7 linked regions of the Xenopus tropicalis genome follow. The protein of the gene in region 6 interacts with the protein of the main gene of each other region in a pairwise test. Links are inferred from orthologs where the notes say so. Each region holds a gene or a part of one and is shown on either strand. Other genes may lie near its edges.

What was found.
Region 1: the proteins of rbm17 (region 6) and u2surp interact in binary tests that used the Homo sapiens proteins (3 or more experiments, as listed by UniProt). The link is inferred for Xenopus tropicalis from reciprocal best matches to the Homo sapiens genes RBM17 and U2SURP.
Region 2: the proteins of rbm17 (region 6) and cchcr1 interact in binary tests that used the Homo sapiens proteins (3 or more experiments, as listed by UniProt). The link is inferred for Xenopus tropicalis from reciprocal best matches to the Homo sapiens genes RBM17 and CCHCR1.
Region 3: the proteins of rbm17 (region 6) and sat1 interact in binary tests that used the Homo sapiens proteins (3 or more experiments, as listed by UniProt). The two-hybrid records come from large-scale screens. The link is inferred for Xenopus tropicalis from reciprocal best matches to the Homo sapiens genes RBM17 and SAT1.
Region 4: the proteins of rbm17 (region 6) and ppp1r12c interact in binary tests that used the Homo sapiens proteins (3 or more experiments, as listed by UniProt). The two-hybrid records come from large-scale screens. The link is inferred for Xenopus tropicalis from reciprocal best matches to the Homo sapiens genes RBM17 and PPP1R12C.
Region 5: the proteins of rbm17 (region 6) and qrich1 interact in binary tests that used the Homo sapiens proteins (3 or more experiments, as listed by UniProt). The two-hybrid records come from large-scale screens. The link is inferred for Xenopus tropicalis from reciprocal best matches to the Homo sapiens genes RBM17 and QRICH1.
Region 7: the proteins of rbm17 (region 6) and sf1 interact in binary tests that used the Homo sapiens proteins (3 or more experiments, as listed by UniProt). The link is inferred for Xenopus tropicalis from reciprocal best matches to the Homo sapiens genes RBM17 and SF1.

Annotation. Positions count from the first base shown.
Region 1 is NC_030681.2:119,916,822-119,920,321, reverse strand, and holds part of u2surp (U2 snRNP-associated SURP motif-containing protein), read right to left. Parts: intron 3,333-3,500; coding exon 3,176-3,332; intron 2,166-3,175; coding exon 2,070-2,165; intron 1-2,069.
Region 2 is NC_030684.2:75,151,315-75,154,814, forward strand, and holds part of cchcr1 (coiled-coil alpha-helical rod protein 1), read left to right. Parts: intron 1-354; coding exon 355-553; intron 554-3,500. UniProt on the Homo sapiens protein: May be a regulator of keratinocyte proliferation or differentiation.
Region 3 is NC_030678.2:43,102,164-43,104,343, reverse strand, and holds the end of sat1 (diamine acetyltransferase 1), read right to left. Parts: intron 1,358-2,180; coding exon 1,317-1,357; intron 997-1,316; coding exon 826-996; 3' UTR 501-825; downstream 1-500. UniProt on the Homo sapiens protein: Enzyme which catalyzes the acetylation of polyamines. Substrate specificity: norspermidine = spermidine >> spermine > N(1)-acetylspermine. This highly regulated enzyme allows a fine attenuation of the intracellular concentration of polyamines.
Region 4 is NC_030683.2:104,656,031-104,659,530, reverse strand, and holds part of ppp1r12c (protein phosphatase 1 regulatory subunit 12C), read right to left. Parts: intron 2,920-3,500; coding exon 2,801-2,919; intron 2,398-2,800; coding exon 2,238-2,397; intron 2,150-2,237; coding exon 2,005-2,149; intron 1-2,004. UniProt on the Homo sapiens protein: Regulates myosin phosphatase activity.
Region 5 is NC_030680.2:136,800,374-136,803,873, forward strand, and holds part of qrich1 (glutamine-rich protein 1), read right to left. Parts: coding exon 3,480-3,500; intron 2,518-3,479; coding exon 2,404-2,517; intron 1-2,403. UniProt on the Homo sapiens protein: Transcriptional regulator that acts as a mediator of the integrated stress response (ISR) through transcriptional control of protein homeostasis under conditions of ER stress.
Region 6 is NC_030679.2:84,305,437-84,308,936, forward strand, and holds part of rbm17 (splicing factor 45), read right to left. Parts: intron 1,803-3,500; coding exon 1,664-1,802; intron 637-1,663; coding exon 485-636; intron 145-484; coding exon 68-144; intron 1-67. UniProt on the Homo sapiens protein: Splice factor that binds to the single-stranded 3'AG at the exon/intron border and promotes its utilization in the second catalytic step. Involved in the regulation of alternative splicing and the utilization of cryptic splice sites.
Region 7 is NC_030680.2:40,405,225-40,408,724, forward strand, and holds part of sf1 (splicing factor 1), read left to right. Parts: intron 1-3,303; coding exon 3,304-3,456; intron 3,457-3,500. UniProt on the Homo sapiens protein: Necessary for the ATP-dependent first step of spliceosome assembly. Binds to the intron branch point sequence (BPS) 5'-UACUAAC-3' of the pre-mRNA. May act as transcription repressor.

The sequences.
Region 1 (3,500 bases), on a different chromosome or scaffold from region 6:
AGATTGGTATGCTGTAATATCCTGGCCATTTCAGTATCTGGTTATATGCATTTAGCTTGTACTCACTATACCTTGTCGATTATTTACAGGGTGCATCCACAGGGTGGGGGGGGGCAAGTGAGTTGCATGCAAGGCTGCATGTAATCATTTGCATAAGGCTGCACGTAAAAAAAAATGCTTTCTGTATGTAAACAGTACACGCAGTGATAAATTGTTGCATCTAATTCCAAGTGCCTTGGCGCACACAAGGGATCGCACAGTAGCTGTTAGCAGTAGCGGCTGCATTTCCCTCCCTAGGCTTATACTCGAGTCAATAAGTTTTTCCAGTTTTCTTAGGTAAAATTAGGTACCTCGGCTTATACTCGGATCGGCTTATACTCGAGTATATACGGTAATTGTTTTTTATGATGAGGTTAGTAAGATGCTAGACAGTGGGGGTGCAGTAGATGTGATCTTTTTGGATTTTGCCAAAGCATTTGATACCGTTCCCCACAATGACTGCTTTCTAAAGTAAGGTCTACTGGTCTTAGTGAAGTCGTTCGTACATGGATAGGAAACTGGCTACAGCAGGGATCCCCAACCTTTTATAGTCGTGAGCAACATTTCAATAAAAAAAAATCTGAGGAGCAACACAAGCACAAAAACTTTCTTAGTAGGTTACCAATAAGGACACAGATTGGTTAATTAGTAGCCCAATGGGGACTGCCAGACTACAAAAGACTCTGTTTAGCAGTACATATGGCATTTATGCCTCCAAGTCAGAAATTCAAAATAAGCACCTGCTTTGAGGCCACTGTGAGCAACATCCAAGGGGTTGGTGAGTAACATGTGGCTCACGAGCCACTGGTTGGTGATCACTGGGCTACAGGATTGGGTACAGAGAGTGGTTGTTAATGGTACATTCTCTGCTTGGAGTAAGGTTATCAGTGGATTCACGGGAGGAGGGTGTTATTCTTCCCCTTTACAGAGTGCTGGTAAGGCCCCACCTAGACTATACTGTCCAGTTTTGGACTCCAGTGCTCAAATTGGACATTATTGAGTTAGAGAGGGTACAAAGAAGTGCAACTAAGCTGATAAAGGGTATGGAAAGTTATGAAGAAAGACTGGCCACGGTGGTGGTGTTTACACTGGAGAAGAGGCATTTAGGAGGTGATATAACTATGTATAAATATATATGGGTATCATATAATAACCACTCTAATGCTTTATTTACTAGTAGGTCTTTCCAACTGACACAAGGGCATCCACTCCGTTTAGAAGAAAGGAGGTTCCATTTAAATATTTGGAAAGGTTTTTTTACTGTGAGAGCTGTGGAATTCCCTCCCTAAACCAGTTGTACTGGCTGATACATTAAATAGCTTCAAGAAGGGGTTGGATGGCTTTTTAGCAAGTAAAGGAAAACAGGGGTATGGGAGATAGCTCTTAGTACAAGTTGATCCAGGGACTGGTCCGATTGCCATCTTGGAGTCAGGAAGGAATTTTTCCCACTCTGCGGCAAATTAGAGAGGCTTCAGATGAGGTTTTTTGGTCTTCCTCTGGATTAACTAGCTCTTAGGCAGGTTATATACTTGGTGGATGTATGCCTTTTTTCAACCTAACTTACTATGTATTTACATCATAATTTACATTTTATATATATTTCATATATAAAGTTACTGCATTTCCTTAAAAAAACAAAACACCTCTGCTGTTGGAGCAAGAGGCTGTTGACAGAAAATATGAAGTGCAAACACTTGCTTTTCTGTGTAAAATTAGGGAGTACTTAAATAAGCCTAACTATTCACTACAGCAGTGCAACAGTATAAAGGTCTACAGTGGTCTACTGGCATTTATATGAGCCACAGTTTATCAGAAAGAGTGATTTTAAATTAACTTCAGGTAACATGATCACAGTCGATTATACAATTAAAAAAATCTCAAGATTCTTTATTAAAAAAAAAATGACTGAATAAGAGACTTACAAAGCTGAAAGTCAATGAACTATCTTGTCACCTTTTCTAGTGTTACTTTGCAATCAAACTAGCCAAAGAATATGTCTGCATGTAAAATATACACAATGTTCTGCAAACCTTGTGATTCAAGTTCTGATTCATCCACAGCTTCCCATTTCGAAGGTGCAACTTTAAAAATGGGTTCATTCTTCTTAGCATCATCATTAATGTCCACTAAGAGAAGAATAAAAAAAAATTTAATGCAACAGTATCTTGTAAAAAGTATATGTTTGCTATCATAATACACTGTTATCTTGGCACCTGAAAATAAACTCTTAAAAAATGCTAATACATTTTCACATTCCTACAAATGTATTTCCCACAAAGAAAAAACCACAGGCTTCTCAAGTTTACACTAACTAGGGAATTTTACTTATATAATAATATATGTTTGCTCCTCCTGCCCATTCACCCCCACTCTCTCTTTTGTCACAGACTGCAGAATTTGACAATCATTTATATATTCCTTGTCTGCCTCTATACTCTTACTTTCTTTACTGCCTTTTTTATCACTTTAATACAAAGCACTCTTGGAACTCCACTAGCCAGGTATCATATGCCCCCTATATACAAGCAAGCCCAGCTTATTACAGATGGGATGCAAGGCTAAGAGCCTTTAACGTGTATAGTATAGTCATTCACCAAAAACCTCAGATGTCACCAAAAAAGGTGCTGTGATACTAGATGTGAATAAAGCAAGCCAGTTAATATAAAAAGGATACCTTAAAGTAGGTTAAATAAACTAAAGATAACACCAAATGTTACATGGTAAAACTAGATAGACAGACACTATTATGTTCTGTAGTTTGTATTTTCATGCTCTTTACAGGAAACTATACTTATATAAATCATCCAAGAACCTCTATTATCAGATGCAAAATGAGGGTAAAGTCTCAAATGTGGTCTGTCATTTGAATAACAAATAATGCATAATCTTGCCACATTTAGGCTTGGAAGGTGTCACAAAAACAGATGTCGTTAACTTTGATGATCATATATTTTAAAAAATATATCCTAAACCTAAAGCAAAATAACTGCTTAATATCAGGCTGTGCGACATCACAAATGAAGCAATGTGAAAGATGGGACTATGGGCTCCCAGTGGAGTAAGGCACACAAGGGAGGTGGTCTGCGCTTATTACAAAATTTAAACCATATAGCAACATTTTAAGATAGAAACTTACATGGTACTCCATCCAAATCATCTTCTAAAGATTTTATGGGAACACCATCTAAGTCATCAATAGGAGCACCATCAATTGGGATTCCATCAACATCCTCAATAAGAGGTACATCCAACTCTTCCTCAATCGGAGCACCATCCAAATCATCTGGTACTTCCTATAGTCAAAAACAAAGTTACTGCTGTAAAATCTATTTTACAAAAACAACATTTTTAAAGCTGACAGTATTGCTTATTTATAAAATATGAAGCAGTGTATAAGATTTTGGTAGCATTTTGTACATTACCAATACAACTTTGTAAATCTAATTAAAAAAAAAATTTAA
Region 2 (3,500 bases), on a different chromosome or scaffold from region 6:
AGGATTTTTTCAACTTCCCAGCTTTTACACATTAACAGGCTCTGGCAGGAATTATGAATTCGTTTTATTGTTATGCAAGGTAGTTTTTACCAGGGTGGATAAGCTGTGCCCATTCAGCTTAGCTTTTCACTGAGCTGTGTGATGCCATACCAGTCATAATTTTTAACTCTTTTTTCCAAAAGACCGTCATGATTTGTGTTCAAAAAGGGGTGAGTTTCAGGAGATCTTTAAAATGTAACAGGGTGTTATGTAGGAGAGCTTTGGGAGTGGTTAAACATGTCATGACTTTCACAATAAAGACTGTGACAATGACATCTTCATTGTTTTGTATGATGTTATCTTTCTCTTCTTTAGGTCTAGGTGGGCTGATTCCCCCTTCCCATTTTGAAAACCGTCGTCGTGTGTCTGTTCCTCCACCTTCTGTGTCGGTTACATCTCATCCTCCAATCTGTGAACCATGGACAGACCTTGCAAGGGAGTTGGTAAGCCTAAGGCAAGCAAATGAGGAACTGAGAAAGAAACAAGAGATGGAGAAAGAAGTTATCCAATCAAGGTATATCTAAAACTAGTGGTTGCTCATCTTCCAAACACTTTTTTCAGTTTAATTGTTTTAAGAGAGATTATTTTTTCTAATATTGAAGTTTAAAGTTGCTGTTCCTCTCTCTGGTGCTTCAGTCCAGCAGCTCATTAATCCAGATGCAGACTATTACAATTTGATACTTTTTCGGTGTCTTCTATCTAATGTTAGCAAACATTGTATCAGTTATAACAGTTGCTTTTAATGAAAGCTGGGATTATGCTCAACAGGGCCAAAGAAATGCATCAACTAATGGGATTAGAACAGTTAAGAGTTGGAGACCCCCTCACAGAGCTCACCAGGGAGTAGGTGAAAATGAAACTTTAAAGGGGATGTTCACCTTCAGAACATCGTCTGAATTTGAACAGGCCCTGTGAGAAAAAAACATTTTTGCAAAGCATCTTTATCTTTAATAGTCAGTACTTTAAGCTCTTACTATCACTATCTACTGCTATGCTCTCAGTAGGGGATTTTCCAGATCATATATATTCAATTCCTGACTTTTCAAGAAAAGCAACAGATTAATAATATACTCCTAAAAAGTATAATGTGTCTGCACCAGCATCTTTAACAACTCTGATTGTGGATACTTACAGTTGTTGTCCCCAGCAATATGTCTGATGGCTGCACATTCAATATGTCCAATGTCAGCAATTCTAAACAATACGGTGTGATTTAGCTGTCGCACAAATTTCTCACATGCTGCAACTTTTGTGCAATATGTTGAGTGACATGATAATTTGCATTTATCATTACATGTAAAGTCCTTCACATTCTTTTTGACGTTATTTTGTAAGATCATTATACCATACTAGACCATTTAGTTTGGAATTTTGGCCAGAAAAGATTGATACAGTAGACAATTGCATGACTAATGTAGTTCTTCTTCACAAACTTGGGCATAAACAAGCTAAAAAAAATCTTGCTGCGCCTTGAGGGTGGGCAAAATTGCATTAACAAAATAAGGTAGAAAAGTAAAGGAATCTTATGTTTTAATATCTAGCCTTAGGTCTTAAACAGGTGTAAGGGCATGTATTACACAGACATTTCTTTCTGGAATGGAGTAAACATTTGGATTATATTCAGGACAGGTTGTAGATTCTTTAAATGGATACTGTCTTGATTTTTATGGTATACGTTTATTTCTAAATTACACTGTTTACATAGCAGATAATTCATTTTACCATTTACAATTATATTCTCGAACAAAGAAACGTATTTTTTTTAAGTTGTAATATAGGTCTTCATAATTAAGATGACCAATTAAACTTGTGCTGTCTACACCATACTAAAATGTGTGAACTACATATTTACTTCGGAACAGCCAAATTAAGTTAAGCCAGCCACTTGAGAACTCTGTAAGGTGTCAGTGGCCACCCTGTAATTTCTCTGGGCCTGTACAATTTTTTTCCAAAAAGGGGCATCAGGGTTTAAATTTGCCTTTTCTTGCCCTTAAAAGGGGAACTACTATACAGTGGATGAAAAAAAAAGTTTACAAACTTTACAAATGCAATGCATGTATTACTTTGTTGAGTTTTTTTTTTTTAATCATAATGTATAAAGCGATTTATGCCTTGGCATAGCTTCTTTTCTGCCTCTGTTGAAAGAGTTGCATCAGAGATGCTTTGGTTGACTGAGAAAACCTGCCCAGCATAGTTATGAACATCTACCTTCTTTATTCTTCCATGTTGCACACACCAGTAAGCTCTGGTGTATACATAAAAATGCATTGGGACACACTTTTATGTAAAATCCACCTATTAGTTTTGTTAGTTGGCCCACAGTAAAAAATATAGGTAGCACAGCAGGTAAAATTTCTAACCCTAACTTTGTCACATATTTTATCCTTATTGAAATTTTTATTGAAGAGGCTGGCTCATTCAAGGGCACTGAATGGCAAATATATATAACAGGTCATATCTTTTTGGAGATGCCAAGCCCCCTTAAATATCCTTTATTATCTTATCTTATTTATTACCTATGCTTGTATAGAGGGGGTGATACATGGGCCCTATCTGAACAGGAGTGGTTGGGGTATGCACCGAGAAGACAGGAACAGAGAAAGGTCCTGCTGAAGTTTTATCCAGCAACCCATGCTTACAGGTAAACTCATGGGTCCAGTGTGCTTCAGGCTGACCTCCAACAGTTGCCCTGGAATCAGCAACTCACATAATATGGAACAGAACCAACCAAAATAGTTTTAAAAGTGCCCTGACTTAAAGCCAGATGGCAGGTGAGTAACAGCTTAAAGAACGAAACCCAGCTTTTACAGCATGTCCCCAAAGCATTACCACTAGTCCCTTTTCTAAACCACCGCACTGAAATGCATGCACCAGGGATTTAGTTTCTTATAGCGAGGCAGTGGTGATTCCTTCCCATGAAAATTAAGAAACTCCATGCAGTCAAATCAAGATAAATATACTGGCTGCATCAAATTCCTCTAAAAGGTGCCTTTGTTCAAGCATGTAGTTCTTCCAGGAGACAGTAAAAAATACTGGCAAGATATTCCTTTTTGTCTTTATAGAATAAGATTCTCCTCTGGGCATTGAACTTCAAAGCTGACATATGTTTCCCTCTGCTCAACACTGAGCTATTTCAGGGCTTATATTTTGGCTAAGAATGGCTACATTAATACTTAAATTTAGCAAAATAAATTTGTTCTGTGTTTAGGCTAATAATATCAGTCTATTGCTTATTTGTTATAGTTCTTAAAGTTTTATAATATTTCACCTTATTCCAAAGCACTGTACAATGGTTTGGGGATACTGGAAACTCTAGGGCAAACAGATAAAATAATTGCAACTATAGGAACAAATATAATGAAACTTGGGCATGAAGCCTTTTCTCCCAGTTGGGGGCAGTGGTGAGCGTTTGTGGCAATGTTTCACAACATAAAAGGGTAATGGGATATATAGCATGCTTA
Region 3 (2,180 bases), on a different chromosome or scaffold from region 6:
CTTACACTAGAGACATCCTACACTTCTGGCTCGGGCTCGGTTACGACTGGCAGGATGATAAAAGGGCACTATGGCACTTTATCATTGACATATTGAAACCAGCATGGCAAGTGTATACAAAGTGCTTTGGGACAATTACTGCCGTTTGTGCGACAGGAGCAACTTACACTATTCTATACAATAGCAAGGCTTTGCCTCTACAGAATCAAATGCCAAGTTTTGCATGTGATAGTGACAGGCACAAATAAGGTAGCATGCTGGGAGACAATGGTGAACTGTGGGTAAGAAACACACAGACACATTAAATTTTATACTTCTAGATTTAAAGTTTGTATAAAATATATTCTAAGCGATACATCCCCCATGTGAGCCTGGACTACAACTCAACATAAAAAGGTTACACAGAATGCCCTGAGCCATGACCCAAACTTTCTAGAGCTGTTCCTCTCTTTTCTACTTGGTAACTTTGCAAAAGTAGAAAGACAGACAGATACAACAAGTAGAACAAAAACTGCTCTTTAATTTATAAAAACAGGTTAATTGAATAGTACAAATTGAAACCTACATACCAGTGTGTACATTGTACACAAATGACTTACAACAATGAAGTTACATATAATACAGACAACCGAGAAACTAATGTTTGAAGAACTTGAAGATGCTGCCACAAAAAGTTTCGCTATGAGGATATGGAGACAACCACATTACAATGCCACTGGTAATAAAGCTTTTGCATGAGCTATTCTACAATTACACTATAATAATGACATGCAAACAATCAATGTTATTCTTTTATTGAGATATTTGCTGCCTCTGGGAGAGTTTTCACTCTTCAGCGGCAAGTTTACACAAGTATTCTTTATCGATTTTGAAGAGGCGCCATCCTTCTTCTGTAGAAAGGTCAGCTGCTCCACGTCTCTTGTAGAACTTTATGGACGGCTCATTCCATTCTGCAACCAGGAAGTGCATGCTGCTACAACGGCACTTCATCGCAATCTGAAAAAAGAGGTTAGAATGCATTGAGAGCCCCTAGTAACAGGCAGTTTTATAAATGAGCTGAAAAACCATTACATTCTTTGTTTAATGGGAAAAAGAGCTCTTATTACTCATAATAGTTCACTTTTAAAAGGCAGTCATAGAAACTCTAAAATCAATTTCAGTTCTGACCAGCATAGGTAGGCACCTTTGACCAAAACAAATATTACAAGTTTGCAGTACAGTAGTAAAGCACAACTGTTATTTGCCCTGAACACCATGACTCCAACAGGTTTAAGGATCTGAATAAAGTCAGCTGAAATGTCTTTATAAACACTTACTTGACTCAAGTGCTTGAATATCTCTGATCCCATGCCAAAACCTAAAAAAAACCAAACACATATTAGAAACTTCATGCTTAGCAGTTTAAGTCTGTTTTTGACAATAAGTGCTATGAATCCAGTGTCGGACTGACCCACCAGGATACCAGGAAAACTCCCGGTGGGCCCAGGGGTCAGTGGGCCCTCCTGCTCCTGATCATTTGCCTGTTTCATGGTCATTCCCTATTTCTGAATGGAAAGAAAGAGGAGAAATAGATGGAAGAATAGATGCTAGCATTAAGGAGAATAAAGTGGTTGAGTAAATAAAGGAGGAAAAATTGTTCCGAGAGTGGGCCCATGGTCTAAGGGTTTCTGGTGGCCCCTGGGGTCCCAGTCCGACACTGTGAATCTAAAGTTTCTAAACCAGTTATCCAGAAAGCTTTCAGTTGCAAGGAAGGCCATGCTCCCCAGAGTCCTTTTTAAGCAATTCAAATTACTTGTTGGCAATTATGACACATGAATAAAATATATATATATATATATATGTGGCCAAACAATCTTTTTACATTTAAATATAAGTAGAAGATGCCTTCCATGATCCATTAGAAGGGATACAGAATCTGGACTCAAACCTTACATGAGTACAAAGAGGTTTATTCTGTACATGCTTTCTAAAAGGTTTGTTTCCAAATGGGCACAAACTTTAATGTGAAATTCTAGTTAAAAAAAAAAAAACCACAACCAACCACACACAAGGCCCTATGCATTCCAAATAATAGATTCCATCATTGTACTTTACAGAACAGCTGAATTCGCCAGGGGTTTCAGTATTAGGCACATCTCCCACAAATCAATTAAATCTAAGTTTCTTAAGCAGTGCCAACA
Region 4 (3,500 bases), on a different chromosome or scaffold from region 6:
TTTGTTCTTATTGCTATTGATTTTCTGCATTGCCACGCTACAAGGCAGCAATAATTCCTGCACAGTATTCTAATAGTGAAGAATGTAAGGACTATATGACAGAAAGCAGCATTACTGATGAAGGGATTTACAATATTATCATATTGCCTCATTTTTATTCCATATGTGACTAATTTTGAACACTCAAGGCAATTTCTGCCTGTCACAATCGACCCTTGTGCATAGCACATGGCTGAAATGAGATTAATGCAACATTTTCTGACTTTTCTTTGTACCATGCTTTGCCAATTTGAGATTTAAAGGACAACTAAAGCCTAAAAATAAATATGGCTAGAAATGCTGTATTCTATGTACTACATTTACTATACTAGGCCAGATGTTTAGCAGCCATAATGACCCATGCTTTCAAAGCTTTATACAGGAACACACCTATCTTCTTATCCTGTTTGAGCATGTGGGGTGTCACGGACACTCAAAACATTGCCTGTGTGCTCTGGGCTGCTGTTAAAAAGCTAGGCCGAGTAGGTCATAGGACACCACCACACCAACACTTTAGCATAAAGGGAGGTCAAGTGATGCAGAAGCTGATGTTACTAGGCTGATTATTGATCATTTTGATGCTCAGTGCATTGGTTTCGTGCCACTACTTGCCTGTCACCAGTGCTTGTGTTGTGAATCAGCATAAAAGAAAATGCAGAGCAACTGAGGGCAACTCTTAAAGCATTTTTGCTGCTAATATGCTGTGGTAGATCTGAGCTGGTACTCATAATAACTCATACATAAGGTGAAGCCATTTTTACTTCTCCTTTAAAATCGGTTTAAAGAATGTTTATTTGCCAACATCCCTATCTTTAATAGGTTAATGTAATTTGCTAATCAATGATGGGGCAGATGTTTTTGACTAGTTGATGGTAGGTGTTAAATGGCGACTCACCTCAGCAACAACTGTATAAGGTTTCTTCTAAGCTGACCTCACACTTTCACTAAATTTGTTTAAACACTGTTGTATTTTTATAGGTACATTGGTTGCCCATGCACAAGTAGGGTATCATACAGTCTCAGGGTTACTGGGGCAATAAAAAGCAACCAGATAGTCAATCATTTAAGAAAAGAAATAGGAAAGAAAAAAAGAGGGCAGCATTGTTAAATATAAAATCACAGCCATGTAAAGGTGGCCATACACAGTAAGATCCGCTTGTTTGGCAAGGTAGGTACACGAGTGGATCTTCTCTCGACATGCCTACCTGAGGTGGGCAATATTGGGCTAATTTGATTGTTTGGCCCTAGGCCAGCTAATGCTGTCCCTGATCCAATGGGAAAATCAAACCTGGCCAATCGAGATCTAGCCTATTTCAGGCCAGATATCAATCAGGTAGGCCAGTTAATAGTGCCTATATACGGGCAGATAAGCTGAATAGGCCTGAAGGACTGGAATCGGCAGCTAAAATCTGCCCGTGTATCGCCACCTGTAGACATTGTCCTGTGATGGACATGTGGCAAAATCTTCAATCTATGGACCCCAAATGTTCTCAAATTTGTCGGGACACCCTCTTCTAAGGTAGGTCAGCTTATAGCGTCCTTGTTTATGAAATATTTCCAAAGTGGGTGCTGTAGGCTCCAGAATAGGATGATTGGTTTACTACAGGTAGTTGGTTTGAACCAAGAGACTACCATGGATCTTCATTTAAATGGGATTACAAGGATGACCAAAGCATTATCCAAAGATGCTCTCATCTGAGACCTGTGTGTATCATCTTTAGTACCCATGCTGCGGAATGAATTATTGGACATGAATTCAGTGTGTTTAGTATAGCATTCAGTGTGTTTAGTATAGCACTTTACACAAATATAAACTGGCACAACCTGCTAAACATACCATTAGCCAAGACCTAATATTACATTTCCCCTTATGCGAGCCCCCTGCTCAAATGCAATTAATAATTGTTGCCAATGTCAATGTTTTTAGCAGAATGGGTATATTCTATAAAAATTATTTAAGCATACCACAGAATTAAGAGCATTCATGTCACAAAAGTGTTCCACAAGTAGCCGACAAGCTTCTTCCACTCCCCAATGAGCTGCAGCGTGAAGAGGTGTCCAGCCATCTTTATCTCGTGCATTTGGGTCAAAATTAGCCTGAAGCAGAAGCCTGGTCATAGAAAAGCAAAATATACCTTCAAGACATGTTCAAAAGACTCTGTGAGACAGAAAAGTTATCATGATGCCACCAAGTTTACCTCATGACCTCTATATAGCCTTTAGCTGCTGCAACATGCAAGGCGCTTGCTCCAGTCTTTGAATGCCTGATGTCTTCAATTTTTCCTGCATTTAACCACTGCCGGGAATCCCGAAGCATTACTTCTTCTTCTTCCCTCTTTGCAGCCTCAATATCAACACCTTACGACAAGCATAAAATCAATAAGTAGTGGTTACTGAGTGGCACAAAAGTAATATATATTTTAATTCTTCTGACTGCAAATATGCACGCATGGAAGGCGACCTAACCCTAAAAGTACTACCTAACTGCTAAGAAGAAATCCTATGGTAAGCTGCTGAGGTGTAAGAATAGTGACAGATGGCTGCAGGTAGGTTTTGAATAAGCACTTGGATATACACTGCTTTAAGCCCATTTGGGTTAACCTTGTGTACTAATGGGGGACATATATACTCTACATATAACTAAATATGAAATTGCTCACAGGGCTCATCTGCAAGGGGAGTAAAGGATAGGCTGGCCTGTCAGACCGGCTATACAAGGACAGCTGCTGGATTACCAGGACACTAGTGACAAACACATTACCTCCTTTTGCAATTTCAGCGCGCAACAAATTCTCCATACAGTCATCTTCAGCAATATCAAGCGGAACATCCCCATCACTATTTACAGCAGCAATATTTGCAGAATGTTTTAGGAGATACCTGTGGAGTGTTATACAGGTTATAGTTACGAGATGGTTATTTATGTTTTAAAATGAACAACTGCTAAAATACCAGTACATGCACTTTTGTTAACATGGGTGATTTTGTGTTCTTGGTCCAATGATGTTTGAGTTCAAACCAGCAGGACTAGTGATTAAGGGGGAACACAATACAGAACCAATACTCTGTCGTACATGTGTAATGCAGGCAACTAACTTGTGAAGAAAAAAAAAAAAAGTTTACCTCCTTTTTCAGCATTAATTACTTTTTGCCTGTTTTTCTTTTTCTTTTTAATTAGAAAAAGTCTGTTTAGTTATGACTCACACTATAAATCTAAAAGTTAAAGTCACATTTGACATTTAAACCCCTACCTTTCTCTGCTACAGCCTATTGAGTAGCTCATTCTACAATAGACTGCTGATTTGTTTTGACTGTGGTCACAAAGGAAGCAGAAGGTGACTTTCACTTTCATATTTTGCTCTTTTTGGTGTAAGGTATAACAAAAAACATACATATTTATAACAAAAAAGTATGTTCAGCACAAGCCCTATTGATTGGGTATGTTGCACTTTTTAAAAACT
Region 5 (3,500 bases), on a different chromosome or scaffold from region 6:
ATATTACATAGTCCATCTTTACCCTTTAAACCAAGGATAACAAACTGACAGCCATCTAAATGTTCTAAACTACTACTCCCAGCATCCTCACAGCTGTAAATCAGCATAAAACAAAAAAGTTTGTGAACCCTTTTCTATATTTTTATAAGAATAAGACTTAAAACATCACTTAATTTTCAAGTCCTAGAAGAAAACCTAGCGAAACAATTATTATATTTGATTGAGTATTTATTGAAAAAAAAAAAAAAAAAAGATCCAATAAGATTTGTGTGTGTGGCAAAAGTAAGTGATTAATGCTCTCAGTATAAGGTGTGACCCGCTTGTACAGCAATAACTGTAACTAAACATTTGCAGTAACTGTTGATCAGTTGATCAGTCCTCCACATCGGTGGAATTTCAGCCCATTCCTCCTTCCAGAACAGAATCAGCTCTTGGATGTTGGTGGGTTTCCTTACATGAACCACTCACTTTGGGTTATTCCACAACATTTTGATTGGATTAAAGTCAGGACTTTGCCTTGGCCATTTCAGAACATTCATTTATTCTTCTTTAACCATTCTTTGGTGTGTTTCGGATTATTATCTTGCTGCATAGCCCACTGTCTCATAAGATTCAGTTCACAGACAGATGTGTTGATATTTTCCTTTACAATTCCCTGGTAAAATTAAGAATTTATTGTTCCATCAATCATGGCAGGCCGTCCAGGCCCAGGTGCAGCAAAATAGGCCCAAACCAGAACACTACCACCGCCATGTTTCACAGATGGATAAGGTTCTTTTGCTGAAATGCAGTGTTTTTATTTCTCCAAATGCAACACTCTTCATTTAAGCCATAAAGTTCTATTTCGACTTTTTCTGTCCACAAAACATTCTCCCAGTATCCTTCTGTTTGTCTACATGACCTTCAGCAAACTGTACAGGGTCAGCAATATTTTTGGGGGAGCGCAGTGCCTTTCTCCTTGCTACCCTGCAATACACACTATTGCTGTTTAGTGTTCTCCTGATGGTGGGACTTATGGACATCAATTTGAGACAGGCCTTCGGCTGCTTAGAAATTACTGGGTTCCTTTGTAACCTCTCGGACTATTAGATGCCTTGCAGTTGGAGTTATCTTTGATGCTCGACCACTCCTGGGTAGGGCAACAACGGTCTTGAATTTCCTCCATTTGTACACAAATTTTGTCTGACTGTTGATTGTTGGAATCCAAACTCTTTAGAGAGAGTCTTGTAACCTTCTCCAGCTTTATGGGCATCAACAACTCTTTTTGACACCTTTTTCAGACACCTCCTTTGTTTGAGCCATGATACATATCCACAAATGTAATGTATGTGTGATCAGGCTCTGCTGGAACCTCGTTCTTTAAATAAAACAGGGTCTCTCCCTTCCACCCGATTGTAATTGCACTGACTTTGATTTCACCTACAAATAATATGATAATGCTTAGGGGATGCACTGAATCCAGGATTCGGTTCAGGATTTGGGCAAGATTCAGCCTTTTTCAGCAGGATTCAGATCAGACCGAATCCACATCCTTAAAATCACCTTTTGTCACACTGCGCAGTTCTCTTAAAGCCCTCTGTGGCGTGCTGGTGTATTTGCAAATGGCAATTAGGATTTGGATTTGGCTCGGTATTTGGCCGAATCTTTCACAAAGGTTTCATGGTTTGGCTGGATTCCGAAATAGCGGATTCGGTGCACCCCTAATAATCCTAAGGATTCACTGACTTTTGCCATATGCAGATATGTTTTAGGATCATTTTTTTTTTCAATAAATACATGAACAAATAATCATTTTTGTTGCATTTGTTTAACTAGTTTTTCTTCATCTACTTTCAGAACTTGTTTGAAAATCAGATGTTTCATATAAAAATATAAGTGTTCACAAATTTTCGAGAACCAATGTATATATTACAGTAGAACCCTGATTTTACATCCAAGGATTTTAAGTTTTCCTGGAAGAGATGCAGTTTTTTTTTGCAGTTCCACACAGATAATTTGCATTTTTTTTCTTTCCCAGAATTTAACATTGTTTTAGCACAAAGCCCAAGCACCGGGGTTCTACTTTATAGTGATTATATACAACAATAACTGCACATTCAGATTCTTTCAAAAACATGTGCCACAAGAACAAGTCAGGGAAGCAAACATACCAGCGCATAACATATTCTTTCTATACACATGCACACACGACTGCAGGTTACTGGTTTATTGCCTGCTGCTACAGCATCAGATATATGGTTAATGAAAACTGACACTGTATGGTCTATAGAATTTCAAGTACAGTCTATTAAATAACTGCTCCAGATATTTTTTTTTTCCTGCATCTGTTTTACATTTGTATTGGCAGTTATTCTAGGTACTTTGTATCTTTAGTGTCTGTAGTCTGGCCCATGGGAAACTAACCAACATGTCTTCTGAAATACCAGAATCCTGGGACCCCTCGGGGGAGAGGTTCATTCGATTCAGCTGTGGGGCAGGGTGGAGAAGATTCCAAGGCCTGGTGAGTGCTTCATGAATCTGAAATTAACAATGGAAACTAAGCCACCAACATCTTTGCAATAAATTAAAATATAAAATTGAAAGCCTTCAGGCAATCTATCAATTCTGATACAGAGTTTAAAGGTGATGGCAAGGATTCCTTATAATGTATAGACATGGGTCAAGGAACGCAATGGGGCTCGTTATGCACATAGCCAGGTATTTTTTCCTAAACATATAATTCAATTAATAAAAAAAGTAAAACTTGATTAAATGTGCTCTGCCAGCAAAATAAAGAACCATACAAACGCTACAAACACGGAAACATGTTAATGAAGCACATGTAAAATGCTACTATTATTTAAAAAGTGTTGTTTTGTGGCTTTCTTTAATTCCAGTGAGAGAAGACAGGCTATTTAGGTTGTTTTTCTTTTTAAGACAACTGAATATAAACCATTAAATCCCATTGGGTGCAGCTGATCTGATAAACATCATATAATCCTAGATAGGTTTTGTTTAATTGTTAGTAGAAGGGAACAAGAGTTTTTTTGTGGGGGGGGGGGGATTCAACATCTGCGCGTGTTTACTAGGTATGGTCTGAATTAAAAGGAAACCAGCGCCTAATTATGAAAAGGATGAACCCATCAACAGAGAATAAAAATCAACATTTTCAGAATTGCAGTTGAGCCACTGTTTGTTTTTTTCCTACGACTTTTAGAAACAAAGGGCTAATTTGCAAAAGTACAGTAACAGCTTTGATAATTTTAGAATACCGTAGATGGACTATGGACAGATTTTGCTTGGTTACTGTACTAGTTTCACCTGTCAGCCAAGCCCAATCTGCAACTGCCCAGTTTTTTTTGCTTCGACTCTGGGTCTTGGATTTTGCAGCTCCCAAACTTCTAAAGATACACAGGCTGTACATTTCTGATGTAGGTGGCTTAATTCGCTTTCTAGGGTTACTTAGGCCAAAAAAGAAAATGTAAATAGTTTTCAATCACCTGCACCTGTTGTGCTTGAAC
Region 6 (3,500 bases):
AATTATAAAAAAGTCTCCCTATGAACATATTTTTGGCCGATAAACCTTGGGCTGCTGCCCTTCTTACCTGAAGCAAAACAACTTTAGTAGGATTCTTTAGTATTTCTGTCAGAGGGTTTGGATCTGCTTTCTTAGCTGCTTCAACTGTAAGAGATTAAATTTCTATTTAAAACACTTTAAATGAAAAAAATCACCAATGAAGCAAGGAATCTGCACTATTAGGCGTTATTGTGAAACTCTTGACTTTGTGTATATATATATATATATATATATATATATATATATATATATATATATATATATATATATACATACACATATACATACATACATACATACACACACACACCCATGTTAAAAAAAAAAAAAAACTTGGGAAAAAAACAAAAATATTTATTTATATGCACTACATAAGTTATATCCACATATCCATACACACACTTTATATATTAGTATCTGAAAATTGTTACTCAAAACAACAAACCTTTGTCAGCTAAGTCACCAATAATAATTTTGCCTCCCCTCTTGCTTGTCTTTTCAACAGAAAGTGCAGTGCTGAGACCCTGCTCGTGCTTGCCAAGGCCCTGTCCTTCCCGAAAGCCATACTTCTGCATGATTTTGTGGGCCACAGTACCACTTTAAAAACAGAAACAAAGTACACAAAACCTCAGCTTATTTTTGCCCCCTACAGTAGCTGTAAGTAAATATGAACCCATATAAAGTGATGAGCAAGGGAGTAGCACAGTCACCATATATACATGGAATTTTGCCCATTTCAGTTTTATACATACTTTCAGAAAAGTTACCTAATATGCCACTGCACCTTAATTTTTAATTATCCCTAAGGATTTTCATAAAGAAAATATCTAGGCTAATCACACAGAATGAGTTTTCGATCGTCACAGTGAAGTTTCAGGTGGAAACCAGTGCAAAGACACCACTATCTGCCTGTCAGTAATTACCCTAGAGATGTGCCTATGGAACACCGGACAGGGACAGGTGAGATGCGTTTTGTTTCTATTGTAAAACAATAGCAGTCCCATGTCTGAGAGATGTTTAGTACAAAAAATATCATACAAAGCCAGACAAGCATTCTGCCACATTTGATAATACATTAGGCACTGGAGGACACTGTTGAGTTAGCATCACTATACTCCATAAGATCAAACATTTATTGATTTACAAATTAGCCCAATCTAAGTGTCTGGTCGCCAGTTCAATATGCGGATTATGTAAGTGGTTGTGCGGTGTGGCTGAATATAGAGTATATACAGCCCGATGTAGTTGGGGACAACCAGATTTTCCTCTGTCCAGTTATCTGATAATCACTGAAAAATATTGGACCAGAAAGATCGTTTTGGTCCCCCACGCAGGATAATTGGCTGTGATTTTGTGCAAGAGAGGTTGAATCAGCAGCATACATCTTAATTCAATACATCCAAAAGCAAGTACTGTATGTTTAGCCAATCATATATGAGGTAAGGCATTGTCTTTCAATGCTACATTTAAAAGAAAAAGAGAAATCAGTTGGGATACTGGATCATGTCTGAGGATAATAAAATTAATAGGACTGTGTATAATTATCAGTCAGAGTTTCAAAACTATTTATAAATGTATACAATATTGTAAGCTACTCTTTTACACAGAAAACCATATTCCATACCCCATATTTGCAAGGAAAGAATTGCTAGGCCCAGTTGGTGATCTTGGTCTCTCTGGCTCATCATACATAGGTGGTGGAATTGCAGCCTTTGCCATTGGTGGTCGTGGCCTTGGCTCGTCATCATAAGCAGGCACAATAGCTAGATCAAAAACACATAATTAGAACAAACTGTATGACAGGTTAAAAACTGTTACTGCCTCTTTAGCAATTCAGTAGAAATTGTGTGTATAGGGGGCACAACATTTTAGCTGCTACACATTTTGTAATTCTTCACAGGATCCATACGATAGCCTGTATGCAGAAGGCAAATCTTTTGGTTTTCACTGTTGGCCCATGGGCAGCAAATCAACTTGCCCATATTGTTCCACAGATACTTGTGAACTAAAAGTTTGCATCATTTGATTCATTAATTTATGCATTATACAGGCCCTGCAGGACACTTTGGTCTCACTTATTAACATTGGGCAAAACTGCACCTGTGCAGTAACCCATTACTGCAGTTATCAATCAATTTTCAGCCTGCTTTAGGCAAAACACTGAAAGCAAAAAACTGGCAATTAGTTGCCATGGATTACTGCCCCTGTTGCATGTATTGGTGATTTTAAAAAGCAAGTCGTCACATAAGTCAACTGCAGTTATCTCACTTTTCTACAAGTTGGGAAATAACTAAAGCAACTTTAAGTTCAACACACAACTGCTCACTTAAGTAGTTGCAGTCCTAACATAAATGGTGCACTATAACCTCTAATTCAATTCAATATTTATTTACCAAGCAGTTGAGTGGATACTCATAATTGTTAAAGGAGAACTATACCCCCAGGCGCAAAAATCCCCCTTAACTATCATTACCTAGACCCCCCTCACCTCTCCCTTAATACAGAGAAATCTTCTTACTGACTAAAGACTCTTCAGGTCTTACCACTGACACCTAGCCTGCTTGCGCATGCACAGTTGAAGCAGATTTCAGGCTACCTCCAACTGCGCGTGGCCAAGCAAGTTCGTATTGGCAGAGAGACCCGAAGTGTCTTCAACCAGTAAGATGTCGGTGAAGTACGTGGCTGCGCTTATCTGTTTTTTTAGCTAGCGGTTAGCGATAGGAGCAGAGTAGAAACGTTAAAACTATGCAATATTGGAGAGGTGAGGGGGGATCTAAGCAATTATAGTTAAGGGAGCTTTTTGCGCCCGGGGGTATAGTTCTCCTTTAAAAGCCATTTCCATCCCTGGGGCAGTTTACTGGTGAACAGGTCTTCCATTCAATGTTCTGGCACCTGCCATGATTTAAATTGGTGCCAGCATTGGGATTTCCTACACTTCCTACAATGGTAAATATATGTGTTTCAAGTTTAAATTTTCTTAACTGATTAAACAGATGTCAAACAATTCAAGCACAGATTGTTGTGTTAGTTACATGATCCTTTAATACAGATTCGTGCAGTCATCTTTCACAGATTTGAATGAACCGCCATCTAGTGGTGGTAAATCTGGTAAAGTTGGAGATACCAGACTGAATTGAATTAAAGCAACATTAAAGCCCAACAAATTATTTGGCTAGAAATACTATAGCTTATATTGGGGCCTTACAGTCTGAGCTAAAACATACAGCAGTCTATGACTGAGACCTATACCTCCCCACAAGTTCATGAACAGTTTAGAGGTACTGCCCATTCTCTTACTGAACAACCTCATTCCTTACACCAGTCAAACTTCTGTGGTGCCGAGGGCCAAATTTCTCTAGCATACATAGTGGAGGGCCGCTAACGGGAGTCAGTTTGACCACTCCCCCTTTTTAAACCACACCCACTTCAAACAACACCCATGTGAGGACCAAGCATTTGGG
Region 7 (3,500 bases), on a different chromosome or scaffold from region 6:
TTAACTGTAATGTGGCTGTCTTGGGCTATCCCTAATGAACTGCAGATGTCACAAAGCAAAAGCATTGCAAAGCTGGGTTAGATATTTTGCTACCCCCATGTGGCCGCCTGCTATGGAAACGGGGAATAGGATGACTTGCACTTTGCAGGCTCCAAAAGTTTTATTACCCAGCATTAATCAGAGATTGGTAAAATAATAGGTATTTAATATATAACATTTTCCTCTTGTTCCCGTCAGAATTTTACAAACTTTCTCCCTGCTTGTGATTTGCCTTGGGGTTAAGGATTCTGCTGGATGATAGTGCTCACTGCTGCTGCTAAGCAATACCACCCCACTGGTTTTTTAACTGTTTACTGCAGTGGAACATAATCTATTTTATGTGATAAATGCCACTTCAATAAAAACTGTCCTGTAAGGGAAATGTTCCTAGCAGGAAGGTTTTTGATAAATGGGGAAAACATTTGAACTGCTGGCAATCCTTGCATTTCAGTGTTTGAAAATCAGCCTCTATTTTGGCTTCTGCAATATTGCCTGGGCATTTGCTGTGCTGTTCTATTCTTTTGTCATATTTGCCCTTTGGTGGTCTGGGTGGCCTTTTTTTGCCTTAGGTCTATTCCTTTTCAGAAAAACTTCTGATCATCTTTCACTGCTACTTTTGGTTTCAGTGAGTTCCAGAGCCACATGCAAAAGTGAGTTTTCTGCAGCCTGGCACTCACTGGGGGAGGGAGCAGCTGCTAAGGGATTTTTTTATTAGCTATAGCATCTGCCCTACTTCTGAAGTACATGGTACAAATTATGTACCATTCTAGCAGTTCTGTCATAGGACTTGATTTCTGGGGGGCATTCCCAAGTAAGACTATATTTGACTAAACCTGTGACGTGACTTATTTAACAAAGATGGAATTAACATTGAAAAATAAATCTGTAGACCCAAGGAACAGCCCTGCAACAAAAACAGTGCCCTACAGTCTTTTAATATTTGAGAAAGGAAAGCAAAAAATAAATACTGGTTACTGTTCTTAAAGGGGTCGTTCACCTTAAAGTTACCTTTTAGTATTAGAGACATATTCTGAGATGATTTGTGATTGTTTTTCATTTTTTATTTGCAGTTTTTGGCTTATCATTGCTAGGTCCAATTTAGCTTAGAAACCAGGCAGTGGTTTAAAACAGATGGATCATAAATAGAGGAAGGCCTGAATAAAAAGATAGGTAATAAAAAGTAACTGACAATAAAATTGTAACCTCACTGAGCAAGTTTTTGGCTGCTGATGTCAATGTCCCCCATTTTAAAACTTAAGTGTGTTAGAAGAGGCAAATAAATCAAAAACTATAAAAAATGATCAACAATTGAAAAGTTGCTAAGAACAGGCCATTCTATAACATAGTGAAAGTTAACCTAAAGGTGAACCACCCCTTTAAAAAAAGACTGAAAGCTGTCACAGCTTGCCTATCACTCTTCTCATCCATCACCTTGTCATCCAGAATAGGTTGGTTTGATCTATTATAGCCTGTAGGTAAACCCCATTCCCACTGGAGTAATAACTCTGTTCCCTTTTATGTGTGTGTTCTGTATAAGTTGATTTTTTCATAACTACTTTTCCCCTTTTCACATATACTGCCACAGTTAAGCATATTGAATATTTTTGCAACATCCTGTTTACTGCAGTGAGAAAAGGAAACTTTAAAATCAGTTTTTTTCCCTACATGTGAACATTTGCCACTATACATTTTTTTCCCAATTTTTTTGTTGTTGCTATTCCTGTGCCATGGAGTAACCCTAGATGGTAGCAGAAAAATTTTGTATTGCTTTCCAATCAAGGGCATATAGATAGGGAAGGTGTCTGAAGGTCAGTTTTATGTTTGTGTATACAATTTTGTATACCTTATGTATGTTCATATTTTAATTAGGCTTTTAATTTTAACTTTAGTGTTACAATGTGTGCTTTCCTTAACACACCTCTTTAATATTTATATATACCTGTACATGCTTGGCACACAAAGCATTTAATTCTACCATTTTGATTTTACAAATCTGTGACAGTCTGAATTAATGTCCATGTGTTACAGATATATGCTTGTCATATAGCAGGCATTTGTATGGTCTGTGTGCTTTTGGCATAAGGAAGAGAAACATTGGATGAAACACTTTGTTGCAGAGATGTTAAATTTGTACTCTTTAAAAACTTGCAAACTGTGGCCCTGTAGTTACACTAGAAAACTTCCAGTATGCCATATTTAGTTACTTGTAGTTCCAGTTGATATCAGACTGGATCGTTTTAACTAATACCAACTTCACCTTTTAATATTTGTATTTCTCCCGCATATGTTTTTAACAGCCTTTTCAATTGACTTACACTCAGTGGGATGTGATATCACAAATTTGTTACTTTTAAACTGGGATGTTGGAGGTTTACATGATTTTATACATATCCCTAACCTCTCCCTTTTTTCTCTCCTCATAATGTTTCATTAACTTTTTAAATTTTTTTTTTTAAGTAAAAGCAGGTTTTAGAGAGGTTAATGTTTCTTTTGAAGAATTTTAATAACCTTTGCACCTCTTTAAACAGGTCTTTTATTGCCATGTCTCCCCATTTAAAAACGTCTATCAACTGAAGCGTACTCAATAACCCTAATGTTGGCTTTTTTTCTCAAAGCAGCCCTCAGTTAAATTTGTCTTTTTCGGCCGCGTATTTAACCACACTTTGCAGCTTTAACCTGCATAATTTCTCTTTAGCGCAAAATTTAGGTTCTTAGTTATTTTGCCCTTTCCTGCCCATTTTAAACCATTGTTTATGTACCTTTCTGGGGTGAGAGAAATTAATTTTAAGTTAGTGGGGTTTTAAGAATACTTCAGGTATTTGGGTTTAAGATTTGATCAAAATGGAAACTTTTAGTAGAGTATTGAAATCTTAGAAAAGGATTTATTTTTCCTCAGGATAACATTCTAGAAACACCTTATTTTCTTTTAATTATATTGGTCCTTTTTGCTTAAAAAAGTCTTAAAACATTCCTATCTAAGAGAATCTTTGCTTTTGAATGTGAGGTGATTACAGTTACTACTTTTGAGTTAACTCTACACAAGTATATCTTATTAAAGTTATACACGAGCAGCCTTAAAGATTAATGGATAGATAGGATTTTTTTTTCTGTTGAGGTGATTTGAGGTTTTTTAACAAAGCAGTCTTTAAACTAAAGTTTGTTCCACATGCAAGTTTAAAGTAATTCTGCCCTCACAATGTATTCTTGTTTCCTTACGAGCCTTGTTAATCCTGTTCTGATGCCAGGCTGTCTACCTTTATGCAGGTCTCCATCACCAGAACCAATTTATAACAGTGAAGGGAAACGGCTGAACACACGAGAGTTCAGAACGCGCAAAAAGCTGGAAGAGGAACGTCATAACCTCATCACTGAAATGGTGGGATTAAACCCTGATTTTAAGCCACCTGCAGATTACAAGTAAGGTTTTGTTTGGGAACTTTCTTTAGCACAATTGATGTTTC